Oryzias latipes: one gene and its partners. The protein of the gene in region 2 interacts with the protein of the main gene of each other region in a pairwise test. Links are inferred from orthologs where the notes say so. Each region holds a gene or a part of one and is shown on either strand. Other genes may lie near its edges.

Evidence for each region.
Region 1: the proteins of kpna3 (region 2) and mat2b interact in binary tests that used the Homo sapiens proteins (3 or more experiments, as listed by UniProt). The two-hybrid records come from large-scale screens. The link is inferred for Oryzias latipes from reciprocal best matches to the Homo sapiens genes KPNA3 and MAT2B.
Region 3: the proteins of kpna3 (region 2) and ercc3 interact in binary tests that used the Homo sapiens proteins (3 or more experiments, as listed by UniProt). The link is inferred for Oryzias latipes from reciprocal best matches to the Homo sapiens genes KPNA3 and ERCC3.

The regions. Positions count from the first base shown.
Region 1 is NC_019872.2:23,841,160-23,852,310, forward strand, and holds mat2b (methionine adenosyltransferase 2 subunit beta), read left to right. Parts: upstream 1-5,406; 5' UTR 5,407-5,520; coding exon 5,521-5,583; intron 5,584-5,675; exon of another isoform or gene 5,676-5,786; intron 5,787-5,943; coding exon 5,944-6,138; intron 6,139-7,141; coding exon 7,142-7,256; intron 7,257-7,446; coding exon 7,447-7,599; intron 7,600-7,753; coding exon 7,754-7,953; intron 7,954-8,310; coding exon 8,311-8,424; intron 8,425-8,740; coding exon 8,741-8,914; 3' UTR 8,915-8,916; intron 8,917-8,977; 3' UTR 8,978-9,582; downstream 9,583-11,151.
Region 2 is NC_019879.2:9,666,070-9,676,625, forward strand, and holds part of kpna3 (importin subunit alpha-4), read left to right. Parts: intron 1-286; coding exon 287-316; intron 317-419; coding exon 420-472; intron 473-571; coding exon 572-667; intron 668-1,698; coding exon 1,699-1,784; intron 1,785-2,837; coding exon 2,838-2,924; intron 2,925-3,009; coding exon 3,010-3,179; intron 3,180-3,331; coding exon 3,332-3,376; intron 3,377-3,453; coding exon 3,454-3,585; intron 3,586-5,762; coding exon 5,763-5,891; intron 5,892-6,096; coding exon 6,097-6,201; intron 6,202-6,367; coding exon 6,368-6,439; intron 6,440-6,715; coding exon 6,716-6,878; intron 6,879-8,787; coding exon 8,788-8,882; intron 8,883-8,976; coding exon 8,977-9,075; 3' UTR 9,076-10,556. UniProt on the Homo sapiens protein: Functions in nuclear protein import as an adapter protein for nuclear receptor KPNB1. Binds specifically and directly to substrates containing either a simple or bipartite NLS motif.
Region 3 is NC_019861.2:14,776,910-14,788,101, forward strand, and holds the start of ercc3 (general transcription and DNA repair factor IIH helicase subunit XPB), read left to right. Parts: upstream 1-3,639; 5' UTR 3,640-3,808; coding exon 3,809-3,836; intron 3,837-4,152; coding exon 4,153-4,352; intron 4,353-4,453; coding exon 4,454-4,690; intron 4,691-4,768; coding exon 4,769-4,818; intron 4,819-4,900; coding exon 4,901-5,036; intron 5,037-5,238; coding exon 5,239-5,409; intron 5,410-5,537; coding exon 5,538-5,742; intron 5,743-6,150; coding exon 6,151-6,465; intron 6,466-6,650; coding exon 6,651-6,835; intron 6,836-8,037; coding exon 8,038-8,240; intron 8,241-8,336; coding exon 8,337-8,433; intron 8,434-10,851; coding exon 10,852-10,969; intron 10,970-11,069; coding exon 11,070-11,188; intron 11,189-11,192. Other genes in the region: gpalpp1 (GPALPP motifs-containing protein 1), read right to left, coding at 1-84, 237-495, 1,350-1,430, 1,517-1,640, 1,751-1,835. UniProt on the Homo sapiens protein: ATP-dependent 3'-5' DNA helicase/translocase. Binds dsDNA rather than ssDNA, unzipping it in a translocase rather than classical helicase activity. Component of the general transcription and DNA repair factor IIH (TFIIH) core complex.

The DNA of each region.
Region 1 (11,151 bases), on a different chromosome or scaffold from region 2:
ACATTTACCAGGGACCTTTCTTAAAATGAAATGTCAAATACCATTTTCTTTATCATTTTAATTAAGTGACAGAAAAAGCCGTGTTAAAGTAGAAAAGGAAAAAGCATTTTTGAGTCATTTGATGCAGTTACAGTTTGAAAATGAAAAAGCATTTCTGGTTTTGACTATTCTTTTTATTTATGCTACACAATTGCTTCCATAAATATGACATTTAGTCCGATAAATATGTACATTTGAGTTGTATAAACACTAATTAAGTTTTATAGACGTAAGAAATTAGGTTGAATAAATTTAACTCAATCACTTGTTACCAATAGAAGTAATTTATTTAGGGTGGCAAAATTGGATGAATTATATATATATATATATATATGCGTCACAAGGAAAATGAAATGAGATAGAAACTCGTGCGTTTAATTTGTCTGTTCTTTTTCTCCAAGCAGAAACTCTCTTTTGATGATGCAGCCGTGTTACTTTTTTGATCGGCGTATAATCTTCATACGTCGTCATTAAAATCTCTGACTCCATCTCACTGAAGCATTGAGCTCTCTTTTTTTCTCCACGCGTTTCCATGGTGACTCCGTAAATCGGCGATCCATTGAGAATGTCTTCATGTACTTGACGTGCACGTGCATTAACCCAGGGTTACCAAGTCGAGCGTAATTATGCTAACTCATATCTGGTAAAAATACAACTTTTGATCTTCTTGTCAGGAGAAAATGTTTAAGTCATCGCCAGCTGACCCCAACATTTCTATGAAGCAGGACAAATCTTTGCAGCCCCACCAACATGCAATGACCACACTGTGAGTGTGTGTGTGTTTGGTTTGTGTGTCCTCCAGCTGAGGGGCTGCTATTTATATTGAGGGAGGAGGATGAGGAGAGTCCTTCCAGGCTGAAGGACTCAGAAGAGCAGTGCTAATGTGACCGATGAGACCAGCTTCTCGCCCTGGACAGGTCACCAAAGCCTCCATCCACCTGTGATCCACTTTCAAGATTTGAACCGACGCTCTTTTCGTCAATCGTCACAGGCGTGAAGTACACCTGTCAATCAAACTTCAACTTCAAGGTTCCACTGATGGAGATGAAAGGAACCAAAGCTGCTGCTATGGAGATGGTAGAGCAAGAAGGTGCTGGTTCAAATCCCAGAAAACCACATTTGGTGGAAAAATGGTGATCGACTGGCTGATGTACACAACAGTGCGATGGAAGTGACTTGATCTCCAAAGCAGAGATGCGCTGGTTCAATCCCCATCTCTGTTTTTGTTGTTGGTTTTTGCTGCTCCTGGACCATCTTCAGCTCAAAGGAACGAAGAACTGCAGCTCTGGTGTAGACAGATTAGCACAGTGGGAGTATTTCTGTCCTTGAAGCAGGAGAGCGCAGGTTCAAGTCCCAGTCAGGGACATGGAGGTGTTCAGTCACCTCACAATTCAAGCTGTGGCTAGGAGGAGTCAGGACGCCAGGAAAGGGGGCTTCATCTTTGGCCCCCCACCCCGAGGAAGGAGGACCAGGAGAAGAGGATCCCATAAGAAGATGTGCATTTAGATAGAATAAGAATGCAGCTTGGATGTGTGGAGGGTCAGAACACAGAAGGTACAGGTGGGGAGGGATGGTGCAGATTGACAGAGGAGCTAACAACAACAATGGTGATCTGGCAGTGTTGAGGTGCTAGGTAAGTCAAAACTTTTATTTATAGAGATTAACAACATTTTTGTTTTTGACCTCTACCAACTACCATCTATAGATTTGAGAAAGTATAAGAGTAGTTGCTCAAAGCTGCTTCTTAGCGGGATGTAAAAGAAAATCTATCCCCCCCAAATAAATAGTACACAGTCTAGCATGGTTTGGTTTCTATGGTTTCCTCCTATCAGTTCTAGTTTTCCAGGTACCAGTATCCCTCCTCCTAGGTGTCTCCACTGTCTGTGGCATGATCTCTAGTATTCAACCTTCATCTTATAACACAACAAAGCCATTGATCTCTTTTGGATCATCAACCATCTAAAGATGAAGCCATCCAACATCTCTGTCTCTTCTTCACCACAAGCATGAATCATGAACAACTAGCAGGACTTGAACCTGCACTCTCCAGCTTCAAGGAGAGAGACAATCCCACTGCGCTAATCCGTCTACACCAGAGCTGCGGTTCTTTGTTCCTTTGATCTTAAGGCGGCCACACGTTTCAAAAATCAACAATCAGGTCTAAAGACACACACGATGACATCACTTCCTCAGGACCCTTATATCTAACTGGGAATTGAACCAGCACTTTCTTGCTTGAAGCACAGAGACACTGGCACCACACTACTCTATCTGCATCTGAGCAGGGAGGTTCTGGTCCATGGAGGATCTCACGCCAAGTCAGCTTTTATAGAGACGGTTTGTTAACAAGTCGGGAATTGAACCAGTCACTCCCACTGCACTATTTAAAGCACCACACAGGTCCATCCTGTACCTCACGAAGGTGCAGCACCTTCAAGTTATGTCACTTCCTGTTTGCTGGTTTTGTCCTGGACAACACAGGAAGTGATGCGATCCAATCATTTTTAAAATCTTTCTCCTTTTAACAAATTCAAAGTGAAAAAACACACAACACTGCAACCACAACTCAAAATATAAATTAAAATTTCACAAAGGGGAAAAAAAGATTTTCATCACAATAAAAGCTGGATTTCAAATAGCCCAGTTTTCTCAGCTTTGAGGAGTTGATCAGGTTTCTTCAGTCACTAAGGATCTGTTCTGGTTTTAAGATTCTCTCAGTTCTCTGGATTTTGAGTCGCTTCTAGATGAAAGTCTTTTCTTTCAGATTTTAGATTCTCAAAAATGGAATAGTTCCAGATTGTGTCACATACTACAAAGCTGCAAGCACATATTTAAAGCTGCTGAGGTCTCTGGAGTTCCATGAATATCAAGGTGTAGGATCCTCCAGAGGCTTGCAGTTCTAGATAAACCTTCTACTTGGCCCTACTAAAGAACAGTCACAAGTAGAAACGGCTGCAGTGGGCCCAGACATAATGAAGACTCCTTTGCAAACAGTCTTGTTCACTGATGAATGCCGTGTAACCCTGGATGGTCCAGATGGATGGAGTAGTGGGGGATGGTAGATGGCCACCATGTCCCAACAAGGCTGAGTCGTCAGCAAAGAGGTGGAGGAGTCATGGTTTGGGCTGGAATCATGGAAAGAGAGCTGGTCGGCCCCATTGGGGGTCCCTGAAGGTGTGAAAATGACCTCTGAGAAGTAGGTGGAGTTTCTGATTGACCACGTTCTTCCATGGTACAAATATAAGAACCGTTTTTCCATAACAAAATCCTCTTCATGCATGACAATGCACCATCCCATGCTGGAAGGAAAACCTCTGCATCGTTGGCTGCTATGGACAGAAAAGGAGATAAATTGATGGTGTTGACCCCCATCCTCCCCTGACCTCTCTAGAGAGAGAGAGAGAGAGAGAAATATATATATATATGAGAGGGTGGAAGGTTGTTTACATTCAAACAGCAGCTCTGGGAGGCTATTCTGACATCAAAGAAATTCAATTCAATAGTCTTGTGTCATGATCGGACTACTAGGTAGACCCAGATGCTGGAACCCGGAAGAAACTCAGGAGGCGAGGTAGAATCAAGATGTTTAATGTTAGAGCCGGTCCAGGATCGAAGGGCCAGAGTCAGGGTCCGTGAGCAATCCAACGTAGTCTGAGCCGAGGACGGCGAAACCAACTTGAGACGGAGCGGACGTCGTGGATGATGGAACTGCTGGCGGCGAGATGGAGCACCGAGGACGGTGTAAACAGCCTGAGACGAGGTGGAGCGCCGAGGACGGCGGGACCAGCTTGGGGCGAGGGGAAACGCCGAGGACGGCGTAACAGGAACAGAGCAAGGAACCAGCGTGACCAGAGAGGAGATGACCTGAAGATGTGAGACAGGAGCAGTAAGTACAAAGCTTAAATTTACTAGAGCGAGAGTACTTAGCTTGAGACCAGGCATAGGCACCGGAGTGAGTATAACGGACTGGCGAAGTATGCTGGGATGGATCTCCTTAAGAAGGTCTGCCAGGTGATGAGGTGATGGGGAGGGGGAGGTAGCAGCCGGAGGCACCGTGACAGTCTTGTGTTTTCAGATATAACCTTGACATTTTTCTTTGATAATTACCTGCAGAAGCAACAATTTATTAAGACATTTAAAAAATATATATTACTTTTTTTTCCTTGTGGAAAATATTTTTATTGAAGAATTATTATTTAAGCAGTAAGAAGACTGTTTCTTTGTTTTTTGTTTTTTTATGTTAAAAGGCTGACAAAGTAAATCATTACTGATGTTAAAATTATTAATACTAAGTCAAATTAAAACTGCGAGCAATGTTGCAAGCAAATCCCTAGGAGGAGTTTAGATTTGTAGCTGGTACCAAATAAATTGCATTTTTGAGAAAAATTCAAAGTCATAGGTCAGCAAAACTTCAAATTCAACTGCCATATTGTACGGAAACAGGAAATTCTCCAATTTTCACATTTTATCCAGGAACGCAGCAGGACAGAATTCCCAACGACTCAAACAATACAATCAAAACAATCATTATCTCACATTTCTAAAACCAGTTTCTGTTGTCTTTTTAATATTTATTAGTTTTAATTAATTTAAGTATACCATTTAAACTTTTTTTAAACTATATTTGGCTTGTACAGAAAAATTAAGAATATATGATCAGAAGTTATAAAAAAGACTATTAGACAATACGTTTTTGAATTTATTACTTAATTACCATCTTAAAGTTTATTTTTTGTTATTTCACTTCATTGAATTTTGTTGGGTTGCTTATTTTCTTAAAAAATATTGCTAAACTGTTTATTGTTTGAAGAAAATGTTTGGATGTATATGTACATCCAATGTATACCACACTTGGTATACATTATTTTATTTTGAAAATTGACAACAGTTCTCCTCCGCCTGACTGCAGTTCGAATGGTTGTCCAGCTGGTGGCGGTACTGCTACTTTCATTGACTTGAATAATTGCAAGTGCAGACGAAGAAGAAGCTGTCTGATTCAACTATGAATTTACTGAAATTCGCGTAATGTTTATTAGACTTTAGAGTGTACTTAGTATATTTTGGTGTCTAGTCTTCTGCAGATAAAATGCCTGACTTTGGAATAGCAAATCCGGAGGTAAAATTCCGATTTTGTTTGAGGTGTAATGCTGAAATGTGTAACCTCGGAATAGGATTGGGGATCACTTCACTTCCTTTGCCACTAAAGAAATCAGCGTTCAGCTCAGTTTTGCGCATGCTTGGGCGGACAATAAGTGTCAGAACAGGACCTGGAATGTGTTTGTATTTATTCTGTACTGGTTCTGGACCATTTCATTTAGGTTGCTAGCTGTGTGCTAACCTTTAGCATCTTAGCGAGAGTTACCTGACGATGATCAGCTGATCTGACCGGAAACGGAAGCAGTAGGTTAAAAAAGTACGCAGATCACAGTCCAGACAATCGCGGACGACGCAGGATCACATCTGATCATTGAGAACCCCAAAATGAGCTACGCAGGCGCAGGAATGAGGATCGTATTTAGCCCGGGGCGCGTGCAGGTCGTTCAGGTCTGTCTCCGTTCACCTCCGTGTGAATCTTTAAAACAAACTTAGACCCTGTCTGGTTCGAACTGTTATTTTAAACAGAACTGAAAACTGACCCGTCCAGTAGTGGGCCATCAGACTCTCTGTCCGTCTGTTCTTAAATCTGCGGGGAAGAGGGCCCACCTCCATCTCCACCTGTTTGTTTACGTTTCGTTGTTGTGACGTCACATCCTCACAGCTCTGACTCTGTGGATAGAGCCTGTGCAGGACCAGTGGACATCATGGCTTTCCCCGTCTCCTTGCTCTAGCAGCAGATCAGATGTTTGTGGAAATCTTGTATCTTTTTATACGTTACTCCTTTGTCTCTGCTTGCTGGTTATCTAGGAGGAAGACCTGGTCCAGGGTCTGAAGGTTCTTGTTACCGGGGCAACGGGTCTTCTGGGTCGAGCTGTCTGCAAAGAGTTTCAGAGCAACGGCTGGAGTGTCATCGGAACAGGATACCGGAGGGCGCAGCCGCGCTTCCTGCGCTGTGACATGACTGACGAGGACGCTGTCAGAAGTCTGCTGCACGAGCACAAGGTACCTCTCATAATACTACACAGGAGTACTGAGCAGGAGGCAAAGTACTGCAGTAAACTCCAGAAAAACCCAGTGTTTACTGTAGGAGAAGAGAATACTACTGAGCATATACTGGGAGCGGATTTGGTCCGAGAAAGTATCTACCATTGGTGTATAGAGTACTATAGAGTGTGTACTGTAGGAGCCTGTAGGAAAATGCAGTGTGAAAGTTTGTGCGTTTAATATAGTTGTATAAAGTAGAGCTGGACAATTTGGCCAAAACAATAAAATCTCACATTTCATTCGTACTAAATTTGATTTTCTATTTTAACTTTAATCGATTTTTTTTTTCTGCCTTCTGTTACTTTTTTTAACAAAAGTGACAAATGATAGAATATTTTTAACAAAAACTATTTTATTTTAGAAATCTTTCGGAAAACAGGTCGAACACAAAGTGCAGCTAAACCCAAGCTGTAAAAATGTTTGTAGATCAATGCAGCCGATGTTTTGTGAGCTACCTGTGGGGTTCCCCAAGGGTCGATTGTAGGTCCTAAACTTTTTCATCTGTACATGTGGGGGATGTCATCAGAAGACAAGTTGTAGTCTTTCACAGCTTTGCTGATGACACTTAGTTTCACATCGCTGAGGCTGCTGATGACCTTGAACCTGTAAACATTCTTTTACATTTTATTTTAGACATATAGTTCTGGCTGGCAGAAAACGTCCTACAGGACAAAACTAAAGTTTTAATCATCAGGATTGATTTTAAGATTCTTTTTGTGGTTCTTTGTTTTAAATGTTTAAATGATCTTCTTACCCACTAAAGCATCAGTACCACAAAGCTTGTACTGTGGGAGTACAATGCACAACAGAATATGTACTTTCATAGTACAGAGTTCTTTGAGATCTACATAACATGTAGCATGGAAAACCAGAGGGATTTGTTAGAGATTTAGTTGAACGTTATGGGCTCAAACGGATGTGTTTTCATGTGTGTGTGTGTGTGTTTGCTTGTGTGTGTCAGCCTGACGTGATCGTGCACTGTGCTGCAGAGCGCCGTCCGGACGTCATGGAGCGACACACTGAAGCTGCAGTTCACCTGAACGTGCACGCCACAGGCACGGTTGCTAAAGAGGCAGGTCAGTCTGTGGTTTTTTTTTTGTTTGTTCAGACCTTTGATTGGACACTCTCATTTTTTTCTGCCTTTTGAAGTTAAATGTCTTCCAAATCGGATTCTTTTCACAAAACTTTTAGTTTCCATTATGCAACAGAATAAATGCTGATATTTGTTTTCTTGTTTCCATGACAACGGCATTCATGGGACTGCAGCTGTTTGTGGAGCGCTGTTCATCTACATCAGCACCGATTACGTGTTTGACGGCCGGAGTCCTCCGTACGGCGAAGACGACTGTCCAAATCCGGTGAACGTGTACGGGCGCAGCAAGCTGGAGGGGGAGAGGGAGTCGCTGAGGCACTGCCCAGGTACTGGGGGGCCGTTTTACCGTCTGCCTGCTATTGTCAGCTGTCCTTCCTAAACCCTCTGACCCAGTCTGCTGGTTCTGACCCAGTCCGCTGGTTCTGACCCGCTGTTCTTATTGAGAGAAACTGGAACTGATTCCCTGTTGTGTCGCGAAAGGCGCCGTGATCCTGCGTGTTCCCGTTTTGTTCGGCGAGGTGGAGTCGGTGGTGGAGAGCGCAGTGACGGCGCTGTGGCTGAAGGTGGAGGAGGCGGACGAGGACGGCTGCAGCGCGCTGGACCACTGCCTGCAGAGGTTCCCCACCGACGCTCGTGACGTCGCCGCTGTCTGCAGGAAGCTGGCCGAGAGAGGCAGACAGGTGAGGCAGCTTTCCCTGTCTCATCCTCCACATGTGTCACTCTTTCTATGTCTCACCCTCCGTCTATCTCACTCCCTGTCTCATTCCATGACCCCCTAAATCCATGACTGTCTCACATTCCACCTGTTCTATACGCTGCATGCCTCACTATCATCCTGTCTCACTCCCTATCTGTCTCACTCTGTACATGTCTCACTCTTTGAATGTATAATCACCTGTTTGTTTTACACTCTGCATGTCTGTCTCACTCTCTTTTCGTCTCACCTTCTGCCTGTCTCAATTTCACCCTTTTTTTCCATTCTTACCTTTTGCCTGGCCCGTCCATGACGATCTCACCGTCTGCCTGTCTGTCTGCAGGATCCATCCATTAGAGGAATCTTCCATTTCTCTGGGAAAGAGCAGATGACCAAGTATGAGATGGCCGTTGCCATGGCGCAGGCTTTCAACCTGCCGTCTAACCACCTCATACCTGTGAGTGTTGAGTCAGGCCCATGCGTGCTGCCTTAATACTTAATCAAATGTGACACAGCTTTTTCTGTGACCTTTGGCCCAAAAGTGCAGAGATGTCAGTAACATTTATCTGAACAGAGCTGGAACTGTGAAGTATTGAGTCCTGAAGCACCTCTGACCAAAACCAGCCTGAGAAGGAGATTCGGAACTGAAGCGTTCTCTTTATAGGAAGATCTGAGTTCACTCTGCAAGCAGACCAACATGAAAATAATTTCCTCCTTTGCCTCCTTAATGCGTTAAAGGCAGCAGCTTCATGTGTGTGGTTTTTTCTGCACAGCTGACAGAGCAGCCGGCGGCAGCTGCTCCTCGTCCAATCAACAGCCAGCTGAACTGCTCCCGCCTGGAGCTGCTCAACCTGAGCGTGGAGCCGCGGCCGTTCTCCACCGCCATTGCCGACTGCTTGTGGCCGTTCACCGCTGACAAACGCTGGAGGCAAACCGTCTTCCACTGAAGGTGAGACGCCTTTCTGTCTCTGAACATGCAAACTTTGTGTTTACATGTTTTTCTCTTGCAGGTTGAAGGCCATCAGGAGAAGAGGTGCCTGAGATCAGGGAACCAAATTGGACTGGAGTTCTAGAGTTCTATGTCTGCATAGATTCTGAATATTCAGACTCATTTGGGAGAATTTCTGCTGCTGGTCTATTAAAGTTCTTAATTAGAATGAATGTCCAGAAGCTCTGAAGCCCTGCAGACAGAATGACCACGAACTTGTGGTTTAAATTAATGTTGTGTTTCGTTCTTCTTTTAGGTCTAAGTTTAAGTTTGAATCAGATGATCATCTTCATCCCTTCACCTCCTCTGGGGAGGAGGACTTTTTGGAATGAACGTAAAGAACACAGCTGACTTGTTAAAAGATTTTAAGATTTCACAAATGTCCACTAGGGGGAGCCACAGCTGTTGTGTTGCAGTTTAGTTTGGCAAAGAGGTTGAAGTTAATTGTGTGTCTGTAGAAACTTTGTGGGAACTCCCAAATGCAGCACTTTAAAAAAAAAGACGTTTGTTTTGTTTGTGTTTAGCTTTTTTGTTTGTGCAGATCTGTGTGGCTTTAAGAAAAACAACCACTTTAACACAAATGGATCATAATGGCTGAATCAATAAAGCTTTGAAGCACTGAGTCCAGTTTGTGTCTGTAAATGTGTTCAGCCATCAAACAGCTGATCAGACCAGGGGGGGTTTCCAGAAGGCATGTTTAATCTACCCTGACTTTAAGCCTGAACTCTGGCTGAAATCCGCCTGAACTTGCTTACTCTGGGTATGTGGGTTCCAAAAGACCGGATATGAGTTATCAACTTGGTAACCCTGGGTTAATACACGTGCACAGCAAGTACATAAAGACATTCTGAATAGATCGCTGATTTCCGGAGTCACCATGGAAACGCGTGGAGAAAAAAAGAGAGCACTATACATTTGAGACAGTCTGAGATTTCAATGACGGCGTATGAAGATTATACATCCATCAAAAAAGTAATAGGGCTGCATCAACAAAAAGAGTTTCTCCATGGAGAAAAAGAACGGACAAAGTAAACGGACGAGTTTCTGATGTTATTTTAAATTTTCCTTGTGACGCATATATATATAACTTGTCCAATTTTGCCAACTTAAATGAATTACTTCTATTGGTAACAAGTAATTGAGTTAAATTTATTCAACCTAATTTTTTACGTTTGTAAAACTTGACCCTTGCGCTATCCTAGGCACTTTAACATTGGGAGTTGGGTCATCTAGACCCACTAGCTGAACCTTTTTTCTTCAATGATTTGTGAACCTCACTGGTGTCCATGGATTACATGAAATCTTTCCACCTTTATCCACCTTTGTCATGGTAGGGAGAACACGTCAATGTAAGGGTGGGGTCATAGGATAGCACAAGGGTTAAGTCTTTTACCATCTTAATTTATCGTACATCTTAAACTCTCATGTGTCTAAGTTTGAGCCAGAAGATATTCTCATTTTTGTAACAATAAAAGGAAAGAAGCAAATTTGACACACTGTATGCCATCATGTATCCTTTCTCCACCATTGTTATGAAGGTCAAGAACATTAGGCATGCTATATAAACTCATCATCCTCTCCCTCCCTCTCACTCATGGTGCAGACACTTAAGCATAGGACAAAATAACTCTGCCAAACACAGTAAAACAGCTAAACAACTAAACATATTTGGTCAAAAACTCACACTTAAACCCAAATCCGTCTAGACAGGCAAAGGGAATGGTATCCCACAATTCCTTGCACTGCCGATCTAACAGCAGCACCAAAGTTACACCTTCTAAATTGAATTAATTTGAATGAAAGTAAAATAAATTTCTGATAATTACGTGTTATTTTTAAGCTGACTTAACTAAAAATATTTGATTTATCTTAACTAAAGCAAATAATTACAGCGGGGAAAACAAGTATTGAACACGTCAACATTTCTCTCAAAAAACATATTTCTAATCAAGCTTTTGACATGAAATTTTCACCAGATGTCGGCATCAACCCAAGTAATGCACACATAGAAAGAAATCCAAACATTTATGTCCATAAATGAAGTTATGTGTAATAAAGTGAAATGGCACAGGGAATAAGTATTGAACACGCTAACTGAAATTTATTTAATACTTAGTGCAAAAACCTTTGTTGGTGATTACAGCCTCAAGACGCCTCCTGTATGGAGAAACCAGTCGAATACATTGCTAAGGTGTG
Region 2 (10,556 bases):
CTGTTTATACGCTACCCTGCTAGTGAACAGCTCCTCACTCCCCCAACCTAGAACAATAAAATCAGTTTGATAAAGTAAAACTATATTTATTCTACAAAAATGCCATCATTTTTTCAAGTTTCGTTTTATTTACATCATTGTTTAGCATTATTTGTATCTCCTGTTATATATAAATAATTTTATTTGATAAAATACTTACAAATAAAAATAAATTACTGCATTTAAACCCCAATTATGTGCTGTGTTTAATGCAAATGAATTATTAATTTACTTTTTTTCCTTTCAGCAAAATGTAACGCTTGACGACATTTTACAGGTATGACATTATATATTCTTAAATTTCTGTTGCCTTTTCTTTTTAAACATATGCAATCAACTGGATCCTTAAATTCTTATAAATATCTATTTTTTTCCTTTAGAATGCTACAAGTGACAATGCAGTGGTACAGCTCAGTGCTGTTCAGGCAGCAAGGTAACATTTAATTCCACGTCAGCCTGTCTTTGTGTAGTTAAAGTTTAACTGATTTAGCCATCGGCTGAATTCTTCTTCGTCTCTGCCTGTGTGTTTTAGGAAATTGCTGTCCAGTGACAGAAACCCTCCTATCGATGACTTGATAAAGTCTGGGATTCTTCCTATTTTAGTCAAATGCCTGGAAAGGGATGACAAGTGAGTCTGCCCGTGTGTCTTTTACATGCATCTTTTGCTTCTGCTGCAGTGGCTTCGTGTGCATTACTTGGTTTATCCTGCAAGTCCACATGTGAGCGTGTGCGGTGGCATGCAGAGCAGCTGGCTGCTTCTCTTAGCTTCAGCCAATCCAAATAGATCGGCATTCCTCTCTCCTACATTTCACTGAATTCCCAGGACCTTGGGTTCACCGAGGGCCACAGACTGAAAAGCTTGGGCTGCTTTTATGGAAGAAATGGTTGGGCTTTTATTGACGATGGCATCCTTTAGAAGTTGATGATTTTCTTGAAAGGAGCTAGTTCTTGTTTTGAACATCTAGAATTTAGACAAGAAATCTGTCAGATCTGTTCTGTAAAGAAAGAAAGAACTTTAAATGGAACATTATATGGTTAAAAAGGAATAAAAAAAAAACAGAATTTCTAGCAATGTTGAAAACAGAAAACCACATAGGTTAGCAGTCTTTTATTTATTTATTTATTTTAACTGTTGTGTGACATCCAGGCTAAACTGTCTTAACAATTCTCAATTTGGGGTTTTAGAGTTTAATTTTAAAGGGGAATTCATATTTACCGGTAACTTTGAGTGTTTTTCATGAAAGGTTTAGACGTACACTCTGAAATGTATGACCAAATAATGATAAAAGGTAGAGGACCTTGTAAACTGAATTGACAGACGATGTAAATGATGGCTAACTGTTCTACATCAGACTATTATCTTTATGCCTTTTTAAGGAACAGCATCTGCAAATGTGTGACTTTGTTGAACACATGAATCCTTTTATAGTACACATTGATTTGAAACATTTTATGCTTTTTTTAAAAATTCAAAATCAGCATAAAATTGTCAGAAAATAAAAGTAGGAGACAAAACTGAGCCTAATCAGTTTTTAACATGGTGGACGCCATTTTTATCTTTTCTAGTTTGACATATTTTTGCTTCGTTTGTTTGTTGTCATGGAAACCAGTGTTTTCATTTCTCGTGCTGATTTGTTTTCTTTCTCTTTCACCACGTAGCCCTTCTTTACAGTTCGAGGCAGCTTGGGCTCTGACCAACATCGCCTCTGGGACGTCGGCACAGACTCAAGCTGTGGTTAAATCCAGTAAGTCGACCCCATACGCCGTCCTCCACATGCTTCCCCGTCTGTCTGGGTCTGGACGCCGTCTGCATGGTCGTCTTCTACTAGTTCAGCAAATCCCAGTCAGCTATTCTTCAGTGTCTCATTTTGCACTAGACTATAGACTACCGTACTGTTTAGGCCTTTAGCAAGAAGTAGTATACTTGAAGTTTATTTTATGATGTATTCTTGAATTTAAGTATATGTAGTGTAGGAAGTATACTCACTGAATACTTATTCCGACTAAATTGGAACATTTTAAGTTTACAATATATAAATAGTGTATATTAAGAAAACTTCAAGTATACTACCTCACTTTTAATACAGACTACGTATACTTGTAGTACACTTAAACAGACTACTTTTGTTTAGTGATGACAGCTCTTTAGGATGCAAAAAACAAATGTATTGACTTACTGTTAAGCAATTCATCTTTCATCTTATTTTGTTTGTCTCAAAGTTCACTTACATTTGATGTTGTTGTAATAAGTAAATAAAAATAGCATTTTCTTTTTTACCTGTTAACTTATTGATGAAAATAAGTCATCTATCAACCATTTGTTGACCAGAACCTTTATTTTTATTTGTGAAACTTAAATTGTGGATACATTAATATCATGTCTAAAACTGAATTCCGACACAAAAAAGACATGAAGTCACAAATGGATGAATGCTCGGGATAGCAAAATCCATGCTGTAAAAAACTATAAATGCAGACACAATTGAGGCAAAGACCTGAATAGATTTGATTAATTGTTTAGCTTCTTCTTTTTTTTGGGGGGGGAAACAGAAGAATAATCTTTAAATGTGAACACCATGACGCTGGTCAGCACTTGGGCATCAAAGGAAACCAGGTGGACTGCTTTACTGGCATTCTTTTCATCAACTTTCCACTTTAAAGTGAAATCAAAGGTGTTTCTTGATGCTACTGCCTGTGCGGGGTGTTAAGCTGCTCCACCAACGCAGCAGCTTTATCTTCATGTGTTGGTAACGTCACGTCATATTAGGTTTTTTGATCGTTGACGCTTGCTGACCCAGATGCAGTGCCGCTGTTCCTGCGCCTTCTACACTCTCCTCACCAGAACGTGTGTGAACAGGCAGTATGGGCTCTAGGAAATATTATAGGTAAGTGCTTTCCTGTGGTAAAGGTGTGTACCAACATTTGACATTGTCCAGCGCAATGTTGACATGCCACCTGTCGTATGGTCAGGCGATGGGCCACAGTGCAGGGATTATGTCATCTCCTTGGGTGTGGTGAAGCCGCTGCTCTCTTTCATCAGTCCATCAATCCCCATTACTTTCCTCCGTAATGTTACCTGGGTTATTGTTAACCTCTGTCGCAACAAGGATCCTCCCCCACCAATGGAGACTGTGCAAGAGGTGGGTGTGTCTGGACCTGATTACATGCTTTTGTGCTTCAAATCAGCCTCATCACCTTAGAAAGTCTTTTACTTTGAAGGCCTGTTTGTTCATCTAATGAGATGGCTACAACTCATCTACTCGAGATCTTTCGTTCTTGTTTTTTCCTACAGATTCTGCCGGCACTCTGTATGCTCATATATCACACTGACTTAAATGTGAGTATCCAATTGGCATCGCTGCTCATTTCCTGGTTTAATCAGTCACCTTTGTAACACAAACTTGCTGGTTTTAGATCCTCGTAGACACAGTGTGGGCTCTGTCTTATCTGACGGATGGAGGCAACGAGCAGATCCAGATGGTTATAGATTCTGGGGTCGTTCCATTTCTCGTGCCTCTCCTCAGCCATCAGGAGGTGAAAGTTCAGGTGAGATGAAATTTTGTCGAAGGTGTCGATCAGCCATTATGTACATGAAGTGGTCAAAAAGAGGGCTCTCTAACCTTTTATAGGCCAAGGACCGGGTTAATAATAATTTAATTTCCCAGACTTTCCTGTATAAGGCTGAAGTCCAATTTTCTGTTTTTAAAGCTTTCAGTTTCCCTTAACTTTTGAGGGTAAAGTTTATCTTCATACTCTGTAAAATATCTGCAGCTGGTTTAAACCTTTCCTCGAGATTACATATAGGAACCATTCAAATGTGATATAGATTTTCCATTAGTGAAGCCCGTTGAGACAACTGTGTTGTAATATTGGGCTATATAAATAAAACTGAAATGAACTGAACTGAATTAACCCAAAACTGTCATAGTGGAAGCTAAATAATCAGACGCCAACCTCAGCCTTGCGACAGATAAATACAAAACAAAGCGGTCACTAAAACTGACATTTTATAGATAAATGGGAATCTTCGTTTCATTAGACAGCCAGTGCCTGAATATGACACATAATTAATGTTATGATGCCATTTTGTAGTGCTGTCCCAATCTACAATTCCAAAATCGAGTGCCCTAGAAATTTCCCAGAAGTCTTAGCCAAAAACCAGGGTGCAACGCTGCTCACTAAATTGGCAAATACAGACCACAATGCATTGCGTTTGAACAATTATTGTGGGGAGAAAAAAAAGTATTTAAATGTATTTTTTAGATTAGATATCAACGTTGTTATCTAGAGCAGTGTTTTTCAACCTTTTCTGAGCCACAGCACACTTTAACCTTAAAAAAAAATCCCGCGGCACACCAGCATCCAGAAAAAAAAAAAAAAGGAGAAACTCATGGTCTGTATTGATCTACAGTCCCTACACAATCTCACATGCATTTTTGATATAATTGTGTCAGAAAAAGCTGGAAACTGCAGCTGTTTTTTTTCCTAAAAAATGCAATAAAAGTTAAGTTAGAAGATTTAAAAACAGATTGATGTGTGTTCGTTGTTTCAAGACGTTTAACAACAGATCTCCTTGTGCGCTGTCAATCTCATGACCCAATGCATCATGGGAGATGTAGTGCATAAAACGGCTGGAGATCGGTTTTCGGAGCTTCAGTGTTTTGTTCACGTGTTCCACGGTCTGATACCGGATTCTGTGGAAAGCTACACCGCTAAAGACGAGCTTTAGCTGCTATTTTTGTTAGAACTGAGCGACTTTACGAGCTAAATCGGGACAAGGAAGTGAAGACTTTAACCGCTTCTGATTGGTCAGACCGATGACATGTGATTAAGCTCCCCAAGAATGATTGGTGGAGACAGTTAAAGGGACGGGACTTTTCCAAAATACAGCCGAAGGTGCAGCTGAATCGCGGTACTGTACAGTCATTCTTATCAAAATGTCTTTAATAAAATAAAATAAACGCAAAGAAAATGTATTTTACATCTTTTATATTCCTAACTCCTCAGTGTTTTATCAGGGCCTGTTTGGATGAACAGAGAGCTGAAATCCTGGAGATGGGAAATGTTTTTAGATCAGTTAATGAGGACAATTTCCCACGGCACACTTGACCATCTCCCACGGCACACTAGTGTGCCGCGGCACACTGGTTGAAAAACACTGCTCTAGAGAACAGAGTGGATTCATAAATAGTTATAGAACACTCAAATTTATTAAATTAGATGATGTTGGTAACGTCAGGTTAAACAAAAAAGAAAATGTAGTGAGTGTGATCTCTGGATTGCTTTTAAAATCAAGGGCACTACATAGTCCTGCATTATATATTGTTTTTAGTAGTTAGGGATTAGGGTGGGAATTTGTACATATTTGGTTTTTGTTTGTTAAATGCAGTTTTTTTTATTTTGAAGTTGAAGACTCTTCTTCCTCTGTTTCCTCCCCGGCTCTTTAACGTTCCAAATACCTGTATTATTTTTTTAAAAACTTTGGGTGGGGGTTTCAATTTAACGATTGTAGGAACATGAGACAGAGTGACGTGACATGAGTCTATCCTGAGTCAGAGGTGGTGGAGACAATCCAGTAGTTTTTCAAAATAAAACTTTTTTCAGTAACAGATTATAAATTAATGGAAATAAAATGAATTTTTTTTGCTTGTTTTTTCTGCGGCTCACTACCAACTGTTGGGGACTACTAGTCTGACGTGTTTCTGTTCTCTCCCGTCACCCAGACGGCAGCTCTGAGGGCTGTTGGGAACATAGTAACGGGCACAGACGAACAGACGCAGGTCGTTCTCAACTGCGACGTCCTCCTACATTTCCCTAACCTGCTCTCACACCCCAAAGAAAAGATCAACAAGGTAACACAGCTACCTTTTGTTAGTTGGGTTTATAGGTTCAAATTCACTGCTAAGAATTTAGAAATCATGAAAGATTTGCTTGTTTTATGCATTTGACTTGCTTTCTGTGCCGCTGACACTATAGCCAGTTCTGGTTTGTGCGCTGAAGAACATTTATTTCTTCATGACTGTTTCCAATCGGGTATATTCTATATTCTGTCTGCAGGAAGCGGTCTGGTTTTTGTCCAACATCACAGCTGGGAACCAGCAGCAGGTCCAAGCGGTGATTGATGCTGGACTGATTCCTATGATCATTCATCAGCTTGCTAAGGTTTGTGGATCCTGGAGGAGCAGATTTTTCTCACTTGTATGGAGGGATCACCCCCTCCAGAAAAAAACTCCAAAAGGGTTTTACTGAAAATTACTGGGATGTGTCCTCTATTCCCTAACAGCAAGGGTGTGGTAGTACATCTCAGTAACAGCTTGGCTCTCTGCAGGGGGATTTTGGTACTCAGAAGGAGGCAGCTTGGGCCATCAGCAACCTCACCATCAGTGGCAGAAAAGATCAGGTTTGTTTTTCTTTTTACCGACAATACAGGCATGTTTTACTTGTATTTGCTGGAATAAACATATTTTTGATTTGATCAGAATTCATATTTAAATCTTTCAGAACATCTTTGATTGCCTTTTATTTTTTATTAACAAGTAAGATTTGCAATGATGAGATGATTCTTGGTTCGAAAATGTGTAACAAGGTGATTTGCATGTATGTCCTCCACCCTTGGAACGGTGTACCTGTGCTGTAACCAGGCCTGAATGTGGCGCGTGTGTATGCGTTTGTGTAGGTGGAGTTCTTGGTGGAGCACAACGTCATCCCTCCGTTCTGCAGCCTGCTGTCGGTGAAGGACTCTCAAGTGGTTCAGGTCGTCCTGGACGGCCTGAAGAACATCCTCATCATGGCGGGGCAGGAAGCCAGCACTATTGCTGAGATCATAGAGGAGTGTGGAGGTTAGCAGCTTTATATTAAACACCCACTCCAACAAACAAAAAAAAGTTTTTTTTGTGTGTGTGTTTCAAACATGCATTTGTGGCATTTTTCTATTGATGGACTTGCATATTAAGGACATTACGGTAATCAGAAGCAGATGAAAAAATACCTTTGGGAAAAGAGCATATTTAATCAAGGATTTATTGTATCAGAAGCTACAAAGCCCTGGACAAGACATTCAAGACAAATCAGTAATTCTTTTTTAATCTGAAATGAATAATTTGTAGCCACAAATTAGCATTTTGGCAGTGTTTTGTAGCACAAATTAGTCTTTTTTTTTTTTTTGTGCACAAAATGCTAATTTGTTGAGATGAAATGGTAAATTGTGACCACCAAATGCTAATTTGTGCACACTGAATACCTATGCATGGTCACAAATGATTAATTTAAGGGGAAACTATTTATTTATTTATGTCCAATGCCATATCTAGGGGGGTATTCCAGAAGGCACTTTTAAACCCTGAACTCTGGCTGAAATCCACCTGAACTTTCTTACTCTGGGTATGTCGGTTCCAATAGACCGGATATGAGTTGGTGTAATTACGCTCGACTTGGTAACCCTGGGTTAATTCCCGGTGCACAGCAGGTACATAAAGACATTCTCAATGGATCGCCGATTTCCAGAGTCACCATGGAAACACGTGGAGAAAAAAAGAGAATGTCTAAGTGTGATGCCCCAGATATTCTCATTTTTATAACATTAAAATGCAGTTTGGATTTGCAATATATAACATACACTCAGCTAACATGACTGACTTTAACTTCAGTTGTTGCAACAATAATCAGCACTAGTGGTGCTAAATAAACTCATACTCTCCCTTCCTTTCACTCATGGTGCAGAGAGAATAAAACACAACAGGACAAAATAACTACACAAAACACAGTAAAACAGCTAGACAACTAAACCCATTTGGTCAAAAATCCACACTTAAACCCAAATCCTTCCAGACTGGCAAGGGGAATGGTATCCCACAATTCCTTGCACTGCCAATCTAACAGCAGCACCAAAGTTACACCTACTTAATTGAATTAATCTGAATAAAAGTAAAATAAATTTATGATAACTATGTGTTATTTTTAAGTTGACTGAACTCATAAAATTATTTATCTTAACTGAAGCAAATAATTAAGTTAGATTAATGTAAAAAGTTTATTTTTCCAACATCCATATGTGGTCTTATCACCCTCTCACGGTGGAAAAAGTATTATCTGAGCTTCTTCATCCACTAAATCATCTTCAAATGGACACGCCATGCTGCTTCACCTCTCTGAAAACAGACTAACCTTCAACTAAACCTGCTCCAGACCAGGTTATGTTCAGAGCATGAGTTGCCATGGCAACTTGACATACCCTGAAACATACCTCAGTTTTTGGAACAGAAAGCTGAGGTTATCCGCTTCCTTAGCCTCAAACTTACCGTGGTAACTCACATAATCTGCTTTCTGGAATACCCCCCAGGGCCCTGTAAAATGCAGCCATCTTCACATCACTACAAGCTCCCTGCTCTGCTCCATTCTGATGCATCCACTTGTAGACGAATAGATCCATGAACATCTTTGTTTTCTGTGTCTAAGCTGGTATCTGGATTAAAACTGTACAGCTGGATAGCTCGCCAATTGCTCACTATTTTTGGTGCACCGGTAATGTGAGGTTTGGAGTGTGAGGGGGTTTAAGCACATAAACAGATGGATGATGGGACGGGGGCAGGATTGCTCAACTCCAACAGTTCCACCCACAACTCTGCTCACCCACAACACTTTGACAAGAGATGAAAAAACTGATTTTAGTGGGACTTGAAACAGATCTTAGTAGCATCCTTAAAAAATGAAAAGCATTCTTACTATTGTGAATTTTGAATCTTTTTTAAGGTTTGGAGAAGATAGAACAGCTGCAGCAGCATGAAAATGAAGACATCTACAAATTAGCTTTTGAGATTATTGATCAATACTTTTCAGGAGATATTGTAAGTTTATTTATCATTTTCATTTTTTGTAGATTTTTCATTTCTTGCATACTGGTCCAACACTAAATTTACTACTTTGTTCTTTGCCTTCCAGTTTGATGAAGATCCCAACTTGATTCCCGAAACCACCCAAGGAGGAACCTTTAATTTTGACCCGGCTTCTAACATGCAAACAAAGAAGTTTAACTTCTAAAAGCCAGGATGTGGGGTTCCACCCAGCTCCCCATCACAGACACGAACCCATCCATCCCACAACCTGGCACCTTTTGGTCCGAAGGATTTTCATGTCAGCATCCAAACTCACCACTTAAGGATTCACCCACACCTACTCCTGCACTGTGGGGTGTTTTTTTTCTTCTTCTTTTTTTTTCTTCATTGCCGTCTTTTACGGAAGATTGTAACCCTTCACAGGAGTCCTGCTTATATAAGAGACACCATGAACACCAAGAGGAGGCCTCGGCCTCTCCTTCCATGTCCTAATGTTAACTCCAAGGTAAAAACGAAAGGAAGAATTTGCCTTCTGGGCAAGATTTTGCCAAATGTCAAGTCTTCACAAAGACAAAATCCAAGCACATGTTATGACACCATTGTGATCACCACACGTATTTGTACGATGAGTGGACACCATTTTTTTCTTTACACTTTAGAAGGCCCTGCATTCATCTATTAGACTGTCACTAACGGGGATGAAATGTTGCTTTTTTGTTTGTGCTTTTCCCCTTCCTGGATTTTCCCTTTGACTTTGGTTCGCATAAATACGTACAGAGATGTGAACAAAGTATACACAACTATGGCACCCCTCTGTCTAGTTTAGAGTTTTTCCCCCAGAGCTAAGCCATGAATAACCACAGACCCTCGCTGCCTTCCCGTAGGACAGGTGGAGGGGGGAAAGGGCTCTAAGGTAAAAACAAACAAACAAAAAAAGAGGACTCTGGCAAAGTGACGGACTTGGCCCCAGAGTTTTAAAGGTGACCTCTGTTGGATAATCAAGATGTTTTATTTTAGAAAAATCATCAGAAATGTGAAGAAAAATGCCATTTTTTTGTTTTTGATAATGTAATTGTAGGACCTGCCAGCTGTTTGCTTCTGATGGCGACGACTTTTTTTGGTTGGTATTAAATGTAAATAACAGGCGGCGGCGTGTGGACGGGTCGCAGAGACTCAAGAGGAGGAGCACATCAACTGTAGCGTTCGTTTCCTCCACAGGACATTTTGGGTTTGCTTTTTATTTTTTTTAAACTTTTCCTGCATTTGGTCACATCCAGTGAACGGACTTCCCCTATAATGTGAAACTTTGAAGGAGCAATCCACTTAAACCTTCACGCAAAAGTCACACCCAGAGAAGTTATCAGACGGAGGACTTTTTTATTATTTTTTTTTAACCCTCAAAGAAAGCATCTTCTTTTCTACAACTTTCAGTTTCCTGGTTTTTTTTCCGGTTAAGTCTGTGGAAATTCTTTTTATTCAACTTTTTCTTCAGTCTTATGCACACGTCTGACGGGCACGCTCTTACCTGCCTGCAGAAAGGGACCTACGCTCACGGAAAGCTCGTGTAAGGGGGTGTACAGGTCCTGATCTTTAAAGAACTTAATCCTTTGCTTTCAGTGAGGTCAGATGTCACCGCTCGGTTTGAAGAATTGTAAAAACAATGTTTCTCTTTGCCATCTAATGAAC
Region 3 (11,192 bases), on a different chromosome or scaffold from region 2:
CGTACGAGCTCCCAAGCCGATGTGTTGCAATTCTGGTGGAAGCTCAGTCATCCATGTTTCTCTAGTTGGCAGTGCAGGAGTTTCCTACCCACCAAAAATACAGTATTAGAAAAATGTCAAAGGAAAAAACATAGAAAATGCACAAAGACAAACAGTCTATTGTTTGTAATTTATTTGTAAAACTATTTAACTATAAAAGAAACAGATAATAAACAGAAAAAAAGGAGATGTCTCACAACTCCTGTCAGCTTGTCTTTCATCTGTTTTGCTCGGCGCTCAATATCAAGGGCCACAGAGTTTTGAACAGGGCCTTTGGCAGGCATGGGTCCAATCACTTCCTCATCCTCTCCCTCACTGTTGGAGGATTCAGCACAATAGCCTGGAGGTAGAGCGGGCCCTGGGAGACATTCTCCATCTTCACCATCACTGTCATCCTCTTGATTCTGTGCTGCTTTGCAAAACCCCGGGGGCAGGGCGGGACCAACAATGGGGCGCCTTCAAAAATAATGTAAAAATGTTATCAACTGGCATAGTTTGTTAGCCCTAATTTGCTGGTTCCTTTATAGATGTGGGAATGAACAAAAATATGATGGAAGTATTGACTTTAATCAAACCACACCACAACTGTCTGCAATGACCAAAATGTAATGAAAATAGGAGGGTAGTAAGTACCTCTAAATGGCGCTCAGACCTAGTAGCTGCAGTTGGGTGTCACTGATCAACAGCCCCTCTAAAAAAAGAGGGTTTTTTTCTGTGGGCTGGTTTGAGCATTTTTGGTTTGGTTTCCAAGAAAGAAAAAACATGAGCACTAGTCTGACAATAAAGCTGTTGTCAATTCACAAGGAAAGTGATATAATTTTGAATAACTGGGAAAAAAATAGCAGTTGGCTTAGAAAAGCTGGAGGACAAAAAAGCCATTTCTGTGTGAAAAAATCATCAGAGCAAGACTGAGGATCGAGGAACAAAATCTATAACGACTGCCGACTTAATCTAGACCTCCACATTGGCGAGAGTTAAAGCCGCACTTCTGCAGGAACACCTCAAATCTAACTTTAGGTCTAACTTTAGGCTTGTTTTGCTGCTGTATTTTCTCTATACTTTGCCGTTTCTGAATAAATCTTTAAGTCTTTTTGAACCAGGGTTTTATAGAGGCAAATGTCATACTATGACAAAAGAGTCTACAATAAAACAGGTTAATTAACAGTTGATGATCAGTGAGTTTCCTGCCTCCATCCTAACCAGAAAAATGCACAATCACAATTAAAACAGTTCAAACGATAGTTTCTTTTTTTTTTTTTTTTTTTTACTTTTATAGTCCATTAAAAACATTTCTTAGGGCATCTGCTCACCTTTCAGGAGAACTCTCTTGTTTCTTAAATCCTGGAGGCAGAGCTGGCCCAAAGAAACCGTCATCTTCATTACTGCTCTGTCTGCACAGAGACCGAATCCAATGTCGTTATTTGGCTATAGAGACAATGTATTGGGATTCGAACCTGAAACACTTTAGTGAACCCACTCAGGCCGGTCTCCAGCGCTGTGCCCCGTCTTTGCTCTTTTCCTGGCGATCTCCGGCTCACTTTCATCCGAAGAGCTCGACGCCTCTTCCCGTTTGTATCCGGGAGGCAATGCCGGCCCAGCAACTGCAGAAAAGATAGATATCAAACTAAAGCAAAAATACTTCTACAAGAGTTAACATGAACTGCTGACGTAGCAACAAAAATTATACTTGGATGTTGATTCCTTAACTTACAGTCATTTTCATTAAGCTCGTCCTCGGAGCTCTCCTTTAGAAACATTGGAGGCAAAGCAGGTCCAATTAAGTCTTCCGACGACATTTTGGACTTTGAATTAATTCACTGTTTTCATCAGATTTTGTTAAACGACATAAAACACTTCACAAACCACAAAACGAAGATCGTCCATAAAAAGCTTTTTTGACCTTTTACACAGGAAGTAAATACATTTGTTTGGTCAAAGGCGGAAAAGTGCTTTCAGAATAAAAGCATGGGTTTATTAATGTCGTATTACTTTGGACTAATGTTTTCAGAAATATAAACTTAATGAGAACCCCTAACAAGTATTAAACTATTTGGATGGTTCATGTTCTTTTTTGTGTGTTTGTGTATTTGTGTGTGCGCATGTGCGTCTGTGTATCATGTTCATTCTTTTATTTTATGTTCTACATATATATATGTTATGTTAGGTTATGATTGTTATTTGTGGTGACGTTGTTTATATAGTTACTGTTGATCTCTGTATGATGACTCAATTGTTAATAAAGTTTTTTGGGGAAAAAAACTTTGTACTAATGGTTTTGTACTAATTAGCTGCTGTATTTTTTTCTCATTTATCAAGCCTTATATAGTCATGTAGTTCATATATTCATATTGTAGTAAAAATGTATTGTAATTAGTGAAAATATAGAAGTAAAGGTTGTCATACTTGTACAAACTGGTATTGAGCAAAATACAATCACTGAGGTAGACCTTGGGATCAACCTGAGATTTCATACTAATATTACAGAATCCAGAAAATTTGGTTGTGCAGCTGAAAATACTACATAAACTAATGTGTTAAGATAAAAGCAAGAAAGAAATTTTAAAGTTTTGCAGTTAATTATATACACTAGATTTTTCCATAAACTTTCAGATTAAAAACACTCCATGAAAACACTGTGGCTAATGGTAAATACTTATAAAGCGCTTTTCTACCTTGAATTTGGTCTAAAGGGATCTTGAGTCAAAGTCACATTCACCCATGCACACACACATTCACACACTGATGGTGGCTCTGCTGCCATGCATGGTGCTAGCCTGTCCCTCCAGGAGAAACGTGAGGATCAGTGTCTTGCCCAAGGACACTTAAACATGGGTGGGCAAGGCAGGAATCAAACCTGCAATACTCCAATCAGAGGTCAACCTCCCCAACAATGCACCACATGCCGCCTCTAAAGGCAGAAGAAATTGAAATGTAGTGACTGAGGTTGAATCTTCAATGTTAACTTTGATATAATCAAGTTTGTTGTCAAATAAAGAATACAATTCAGGCACAAAAGAAATAAAAATAGATCAGGAGGGAAAGATGAAATGTTTGAATTCCAAGATCTACCAATGGTGCAAAGGGAAAATAGGTACAATTTTAGTGCTCACAGTCCACAGTCTAGTACATTATACACCCTGTTATGCACTTAGTCCAGAAAAGCGCAGTGCTAGGAACAGCTAAGAAACTGCGCAGGACCCTCAAGCTCCCAGGCCTCTGGTAGAGGACCCGAGCTTGGATTTTTATAAATTACCCACTTTATCAGACACTTACTTGATTCTGCTCTGGGACAGCGCCTGTTAAATGTTCTGGGGGTAGGCTATATTTATTTATTGAATTATGAACAGTATAGGACTCCATAGGGCTAGATGGTTTAAACATTGATAAAAGGACGTTGAGTGAGAACTGCCAGGATGTAGTCAAGGAGGACATGAGGGTGTTATATAGTGGTGGAGAATACATAGGACGTGGTTAGGCAGAGGCTTTTGCTGTGGAGACTCCTACAGGTTACAACTGGAAAGCTAAAAATAAGCTCTGCATCTCATTGTGAGGTTCCACTCCACGGCAGAAGGGGGCAGTAACGCGCTGCTTAGGTTTCTTCAATAAAGAAGAAAAAATGAGGACCGGAAGCTTTCTTCATCTGGATTTTCACCATTTTGGCTAAATTTCTTGAAATTGACGCACTTGTTAGTGCTCTTTTGCAAATTTTCCGTAGAATAATTTAATTCTGTATAATGTATTAGACATATTTTATAACAGACATTTCATAATGGGTAGAAAGGACAGAGGAGAGCGGGGTAAGTGACGTCGTTACACAACAACAATCTCATTCTCATCACTCACTCATTTTTAATATTTTGTCTTATTTTTTATATTGTCATAATACATAAGCTTCTCGATTTAGTTTTAAGCAAATGATAGTAAGATAATTCTGCTGCGAGGACAGAAGGGCAGGTTTGTTTTTGACTCACTGTTATTACTTTGATCAGGTCAGATCTGATGTAAATAAGTCGTCTTAAAATAAATAACTAAATAAACATCACATCAGTGATGTCTATCTAGAAAGCAGTTGTGTGAGAATACTGTCTCATTTCTTGACCTGCTGGGCTGTAGAAAAGAAGTCCAAAAAACGTTACTATGAAGAGGAAGAGGAGGATGAAGAGGTAGCCGGTAACGAGTCCCAGGAAGCCGTACCCGCTGCTGCAGGAAAACAGGTGGATGAGTCCGGTACAAAGCTGGATGAGTATGGGGCCAAAGACTACCGTGTTCAGATGCTGCTGAAGAATGACCACTCTTCACGGCCGCTCTGGGTGGTAAGCTGTGCTTGATGGGCTCTTGGACTCATTTCAGGCTTCCAGCTTCTGCGCAACTGCAAAGTATTATTATTGTTTAATTTTTTTATTACCTCTTCTAGGCTCCAGATGGGCACATCTTTTTGGAAGCCTTCTCACCAGTGTATAAATATGCCCAGGATTTCCTGGTGGCCATTGCAGAGCCTGTGTGCAGACCTAACCACATCCATGAGTACAAGCTGACTGCATATTCTCTATATGCAGCTGTCAGTGTGGGACTGCAAACCTCTGATATTGTGGAGTATCTGCAGAAGCTCAGCAAAACATCTGTACCAGATGGAATTGTACAGTTTATAAAGGTTTGACAGCAAAATCTGATGGAAAAGGTTTTTATGGCGATTGAATATTATTATTTATCTCTGTTTGTTTTTGATCAGCTCTGTACTGTGAGCTATGGCAAAGTCAAGCTGGTGCTCAAGCACAACAGGTCAGTTTATTTGGATGGTGCGTTAGTTATTTTATCACCAAGCGTCTTTTTAGCACCCTTTACGGGTTTTGTCTTCTTTCAGGTATTTTGTGGAAAGTGCCTTCCCTGATGTGATCCAGCGCCTCCTGCAGGACAGCGTTATCCGTGACTGTCGTCTTCGCACTGCCGGCGGAGCAGACTCTGAGCTCATTACTGAGGTCATCCACAGCAAGCCAGCGGTACGCTAAGCAGGATTTCTTTGCATTTAATGACATTTTTTACATGCAATGCTCATATTTGAAGGTACTTTAAAATTCTTTAATTTGTAAATAAAAAAAGTGAAAATATGTTTAGCTAAGGTGTCTAATGCACAGACGGATGTGCTTTCTGTGTGTCACAAAAGATTCTGTGGAAAGATGCATTTCTTTTTGTTTTTGACAGATCACGAAATCGGTTGAAGAAAGAGGAAGTGCTTCCACTTCACAGCAGCCTGATGATGGGCAAACGTCCACCCAACAGGTTCCTGAGGACATCTTCAAATACTATGAGCAAATGGATAAAGATGAAGAAGAGGAGGAAGAGACTCAGACAGTCTCCTTTGAAATTCGCCAAGTATGCTTGGGATTGGTGTCTAAATATAACCACAGTTTTCTTTTTGGCACTTTACTTCAAATTTAACATTATCAAGAAGAAATCGCCAAGTTTTTCTCTCTCTTTTTTTTAAATCTGATTTGCTGTAGGAGATGATTGAAGAGCTACAAAAACGTTGCATTCAGCTGGAGTACCCTCTCTTAGCCGAGTACGACTTTCGCAATGACACGGTTAACCCGGACATTGCCATAGACCTGAAGCCCACTGCTGTGTTGCGGCCCTACCAGGAGAAGAGTCTGCGCAAAATGTTCGGGAATGGACGTGCACGATCTGGAGTCATCGTGCTGCCCTGCGGTAAGCTGCCATGGAGATTTTAAGAGAACCGAGGATGACTAAAAAGGCATTTAGGCATTTAATTCGTTTAATTAAAGGATTTGGAGAGACAGATTTTTAGTTTAATATCAATAGCTTGGAGTTCGTTTTTTTAAAAAGTCCTGCTTTTTATTTTTACCCATCGAACTAAGTCATAAAAGTATAACTAGCTTTACAATCGAAACATTTGGATTCTACTTGTTATGTTGATCCTCTAGTTTTCTGTTAATAAGGAATTCAGGCAGGATCATTTATTTATGTGTTTTTTCTTTGTGGTATTGCCATTGTACTATTGCAAATGCAAAACCTTTTCAATAGATTGTTGCAAAAAAAATAAAAATCTCAGTATTGGACTTAGTTTCTATCAGTATGTCTACTTCTGACCCACAGGTGCGGGGAAATCTCTGGTGGGCGTCACGGCAGCGTGCACGGTGCGAAAACGCTGCCTGGTGTTGGGAAACTCTTCCGTGTCCGTGGAGCAGTGGAAAGCTCAGTTCAAGATGTGGTCCACCATCGACGAGTCGTTAATCTGCCGCTTCACTTCCGACGCCAAGGACAAGCCTATCGGCTGCTCAGTGGCTATCAGCACCTACTCCATGCTGGGTCACACCACCAAGCGATCCTGGGAAGCTGAAAGGGTCATGGAGTGGATGCGGAGCCAGGAGTGGGGACTCATTATTCTGGATGAGGTGCACACCATTCCTGGTGAGTTCTTCAGCTTTGTAGTTTAGAGCATAGTTTTATTTAACATGCACTCTAAAGCTGCATATGTATGTTCCAAAAGGACAATTTATAACAGTTTCAGATGCAGAGAGAGGAACAGAAAGGATCGGGGCAAATGTTTTTGTGAAAGAATTGATCTTTGCATAACTACTCTCATTTCTCTGTAGCAAGAATGTTTCGTCGGGTTCTCACCATCGTCCAAGCTCATTGCAAACTGGGCCTCACTGCCACACTGGTCAGAGAAGATGACAAGATTGTGGATCTGAACTTCTTGATAGGCCCGAAGCTCTATGAGGCGAACTGGATGGAACTACAGAACAACGGATACATAGCCAAAGTCCAGTGTGCAGAGGTGAGAACTCCACTACAGTTAAGGCCACAACATATTTCATGATTATATCAGCTTTGGTCATTTGCCTTTTCTTGACTTTTTAACCTGATAAATATTGAGTTTTTTTGTTTTTTTTTAGTCAAAGCTGTACTGAATGTCATTTGATAAAAAAACTAAACAGATCAATTGGATATGTTTTAATCAGTAAATTACATCAAAATAAGAAATATAAATAAATTATTCAGTTACTTTTTTTTTTGCTTTCTAAATTTCTTTTAAAACATTTTCCTTTTTTATTTACATATCTTTTAAATCAACATTCATTTTTTAAACGTGTCTTTTCACAATTTTTTTTAATGCTACCTAAAAGCTTGTCTGAATAATTAATTATAAAAAATTATTTAAAATATTTCAATGAAAAGCCACTCTATTTATATTATATTCAAATTAAATGTAATGTTTAAAATTAAATAAAGAAATAAATACATTTTAAAATATTTCAATTTATAGCTACAGATCAGAAAAAGTTTTAAAAAGTCTTCTGGACTTGGTTTGTTTTTTTAAGTTGAAGATGTTTTGCCTTTTATCCGAAAGACTTTGTCATGGATGAAGGAAAGTCTCCACAAATATGCAAGCTGCAGTTTAAGCTTCTTTATAGCCTATTTTTGTATGAACTTGCTACTATATAGAAATGAGTAAGAATTCACTTACTTTACTTGCTTCTTCTAACACAAAGATGGAACATATAAAAACTTCTTTATCATTGTGCTAAACAGTGCCGTAACTGTTGTCTTAAAACATTTGTCCATTAATTCTTTAACGAGGTTTCTTTAGAACTTAATTAATGCTGGTTAACGTCTCAAAGATCATTAAGAGCTATTTCTGTGAGGTACAACAGAAACGGAAGGAGGAAGGATCTGCCTCTAATTATTGTTCAAATTTCCAATCTCCTCTTACATCACAAGGATGTCAGTGTTCCTACCAAATCTGCATAATACATTTGTTTTTTATTGTGTTTGACTGGGATTATTTGCTCCTTTACTGTTAATGTTTTTTTTAGATTGTCTTCACCTGTATTCCTTTCTTAAACAATAGATCAAATTATTCATTTGGTTATATTTTTTACGGTTATTTGTGGTCTCTGTTAATAAAAGAAAAGCATTTCTTCTTGGATCACACTGTCAGTTCAGGCAGTCTGAGTGACTGAACTGTCTTTGCTTCAGGTGTGGTGCCCGATGTCTCCTGAGTTTTACCGAGAATATGTGGCCATTAAGACGAAGAAGCGGATTCTGCTTTACACGATGAACCCCAACAAATTCCGTGCTTGCCAGTTTCTCATTCGCTTCCACGAGCGGCGCAACGACAAAATTATCGTGTTTGCTGACAACGTGTTTGCCCTGAAGGAATACGCCGTACGTCTCAACAAGTGAGTTTTCACACTTTGACTAAATCAGCATTTTGTCTTTGTGGAAAATACTTTTTTTATGTGTTCTTTTTTATTTTTTTCAATATTTCTCTCAAGGCCCTACATCTATGGTCCTACCTCTCAGGGGGAGCGAATGCAGATTTTACAAAATTTCAAGCACAACCCCAAGATCAACACCATTTTTATTTCCAAGGTAAATCAGATCCTTCAACTGTGTTGCACCAAGTTTAACTTTTGTCTTTGCATTGCCAAACTTTGGAGCCTGCTCTCCGTGAACAAGCGTTGAGAGGATCTAATTGAAATGAAAACAACAAAACATCTTCCAATTGTCAACGTAACCTGGGATCTGATCCCGTGCTGAAAGCACATAGTCCTGAATTACCATTTTGTCACCGCTAGTCTTAATTCAGGCAGTCCTAATTGCAACCAATTAAATGTTATCATTCTGTTGCGTAGATCATCTGAAGACTTAACTCTTCAAATAACCCTTTCCCTCCTAACACCACTAACACCCTAACGAGCCTAGCCCTCGATTACTTTGCAATTATATAGCTGATCCATCTGTACGTGTATTTAAATAGATTTAATTAGATTTAGGACTAAATGCGTATGTCAGGATTTCTCACTGTGACACAGCTCAAATGGTATTTCTCATAAGTATGTCTCTTTTTGGATTAAACACGTTTAATATTTAATAGAATAGTTTGATGTATGAAATAAGTAATGGGTGCATGATGCATGATTTTAAGTAGGATTGCGGATATTTACAGTTAAGTGTTTTTAGGATGTACTACCACACTTAATTTTCTCTGAATAATATATACCAATTATAGACAAATATTTAATCAATTTTTCTTTTAAAACCGTAAAAACATTTTGATAGTTTCAAATGAGTGCTGTTTTTTTTTTTTTTAATGAAACCTCACCGAGGTAATAATCCAGTGTCTTCTTGTGCCGCTTCCAAGTCCAGATAAATGTATAGAATTGCCCCAAGAAGGGCATTCAGCTTAAAACCTATGCCAAGTCTAACCAGAAGGGTTTGCTTGGAATGTGCTAGAGTTTCAAATGTGTCAGACTGGATGTTAAGTTTAAAAGCTGCATGCAAACGGTGTGTTTTTCCCTTTTTTTTTATTTTTATTTTGTTTGTGGTCGTCTCCGACATTTAGGATGAATACAAAGTTTTTCTAGAATAAAGTCAGGGATGACCGGTGCAGACCTAAACAGACATAGGTTGGTAGGTTTAGTGTGCTGGTTAGGAATGCAGAAGGACCACTGGTAGTTGAATTAGTTGAAGGAAGTAGTGGGAAGTTGTACAAATATTCTTCAAAGGAGGCAGGAAAATAGTGACCTTTCAGAGCCACAAGTGGATTACATCGTCTTTAGACGATAGGAGATCTGTAGCTGCAGAGAAGTAGTACAGAAGAGCACTGTGTAGTTTTCAGGGGTTTAAACCAAGCACCTCTGTTTGAAGCAAACCCAAAGCAATAAAATCAAATTTCAAATTGTAGAGATCCAGTTTCTCAAATGACCACTGGAGGCTGGTTTGTAAAGTGAGCAACGTTATACAGACTCTTAATTTGAAAAATTAGATCAATACTATTACTAAACCTTTGTTCTACCTGGTGTCAACATTTTCATGGTTTGCTTTATTTTATTATTTATGACAAAAGTGGGCAGGGCTATTTTTATTTATTATAGCTCACATAATTGCATTATTAAGGCAGTGTTTTATTTTGATTGATTGGTGGGATGAGCCCATGAGTGGACTTAATAACACTCAATCCTTCAGTTTTCATACTGTGAAGTTTTAGTCTATCTGCCATTAGATGAAAACAGTTTTCTTTTCAACCAGCCATTTGTTATGCTAAAATCCCTTAGTTGGGTGCCTTTGTTTTCCTTCATGATGCAGAAATAGTCTGTGGTTTTTAGTATTGGCTTGTAGGGACTTACTGTGGAGTTGTATCGTACAGCAGGCCATAGGTTGTTAAACACCTTCATTTTTTACCAGACTTTTCCTCAACTGCCCTTTAGTTCTATGCCCTTAATGGCTGAATTGAATAATAAAATTAGGCTTAAACCAGTAGAGCTTCTACTTTATTCTCAGCAAGACACTGCACGCATGGCTGAGAGAATAAACACAACGGTATTTTTTGCTTTGAATATTGCATACTTAATGAGACGTTAAATTGGATAATTCTGAAAAACTCCTGGAAAAATGCAGTCCATCACAGTGATAGCACGGGGGCAATAATAGAGGTGGCAATTTTTGGACTTAATATAACAGATGAGAGAAGGAAGAACACCCGTTTGTTAGCATGAACAATTTTTTGGAAATAAAATTGTATGTGGGACTCAGTTTGGATCAAACTGCTCAAACCTTTTCCTGTGATTCCCCCTGAATCTCCACACAACTCTGCTATTTCGTTACAGCTATTCCAGATGTTTGAACTGGTAAAGACAGTTGTCACAAATGGCGATTGAGACAATAGTTTGACTTGGAATTTTCTGGGGTTTCAGGGCAATTGCCGTGTCAGAACAAAGTCTAACTCTTTGTAGTGCATGAATCAGTTTGTTCAGTTCTATGCCCGTCTCTCCGTGAACGCTTCAACAGGTCGGAGACACATCCTTCGACTTGCCAGAAGCCAATGTTCTGATCCAGATCTCATCTCACGGTGGATCCAGAAGACAAGAGGCTCAGAGACTTGGCAGAGTTTTAAGAGCCAAGAAAGGTTTGTTTGTTTCGAAACACACACATTCAAACTGTATTCTCAGTCACCACCATCCCTGAACGTAAATGGATCATCTCACTGCCCTTTATTGTGTTTTAAGGAATGGTAGCAGAGGAGTACAACGCGTACTTCTATTCACTGGTATCACAGGACACTCAGGAAATGGCCTATTCCACCAAAAGACAGAGGTTTCTCGTTGATCAGGGATACAGCTTTAAGGTGC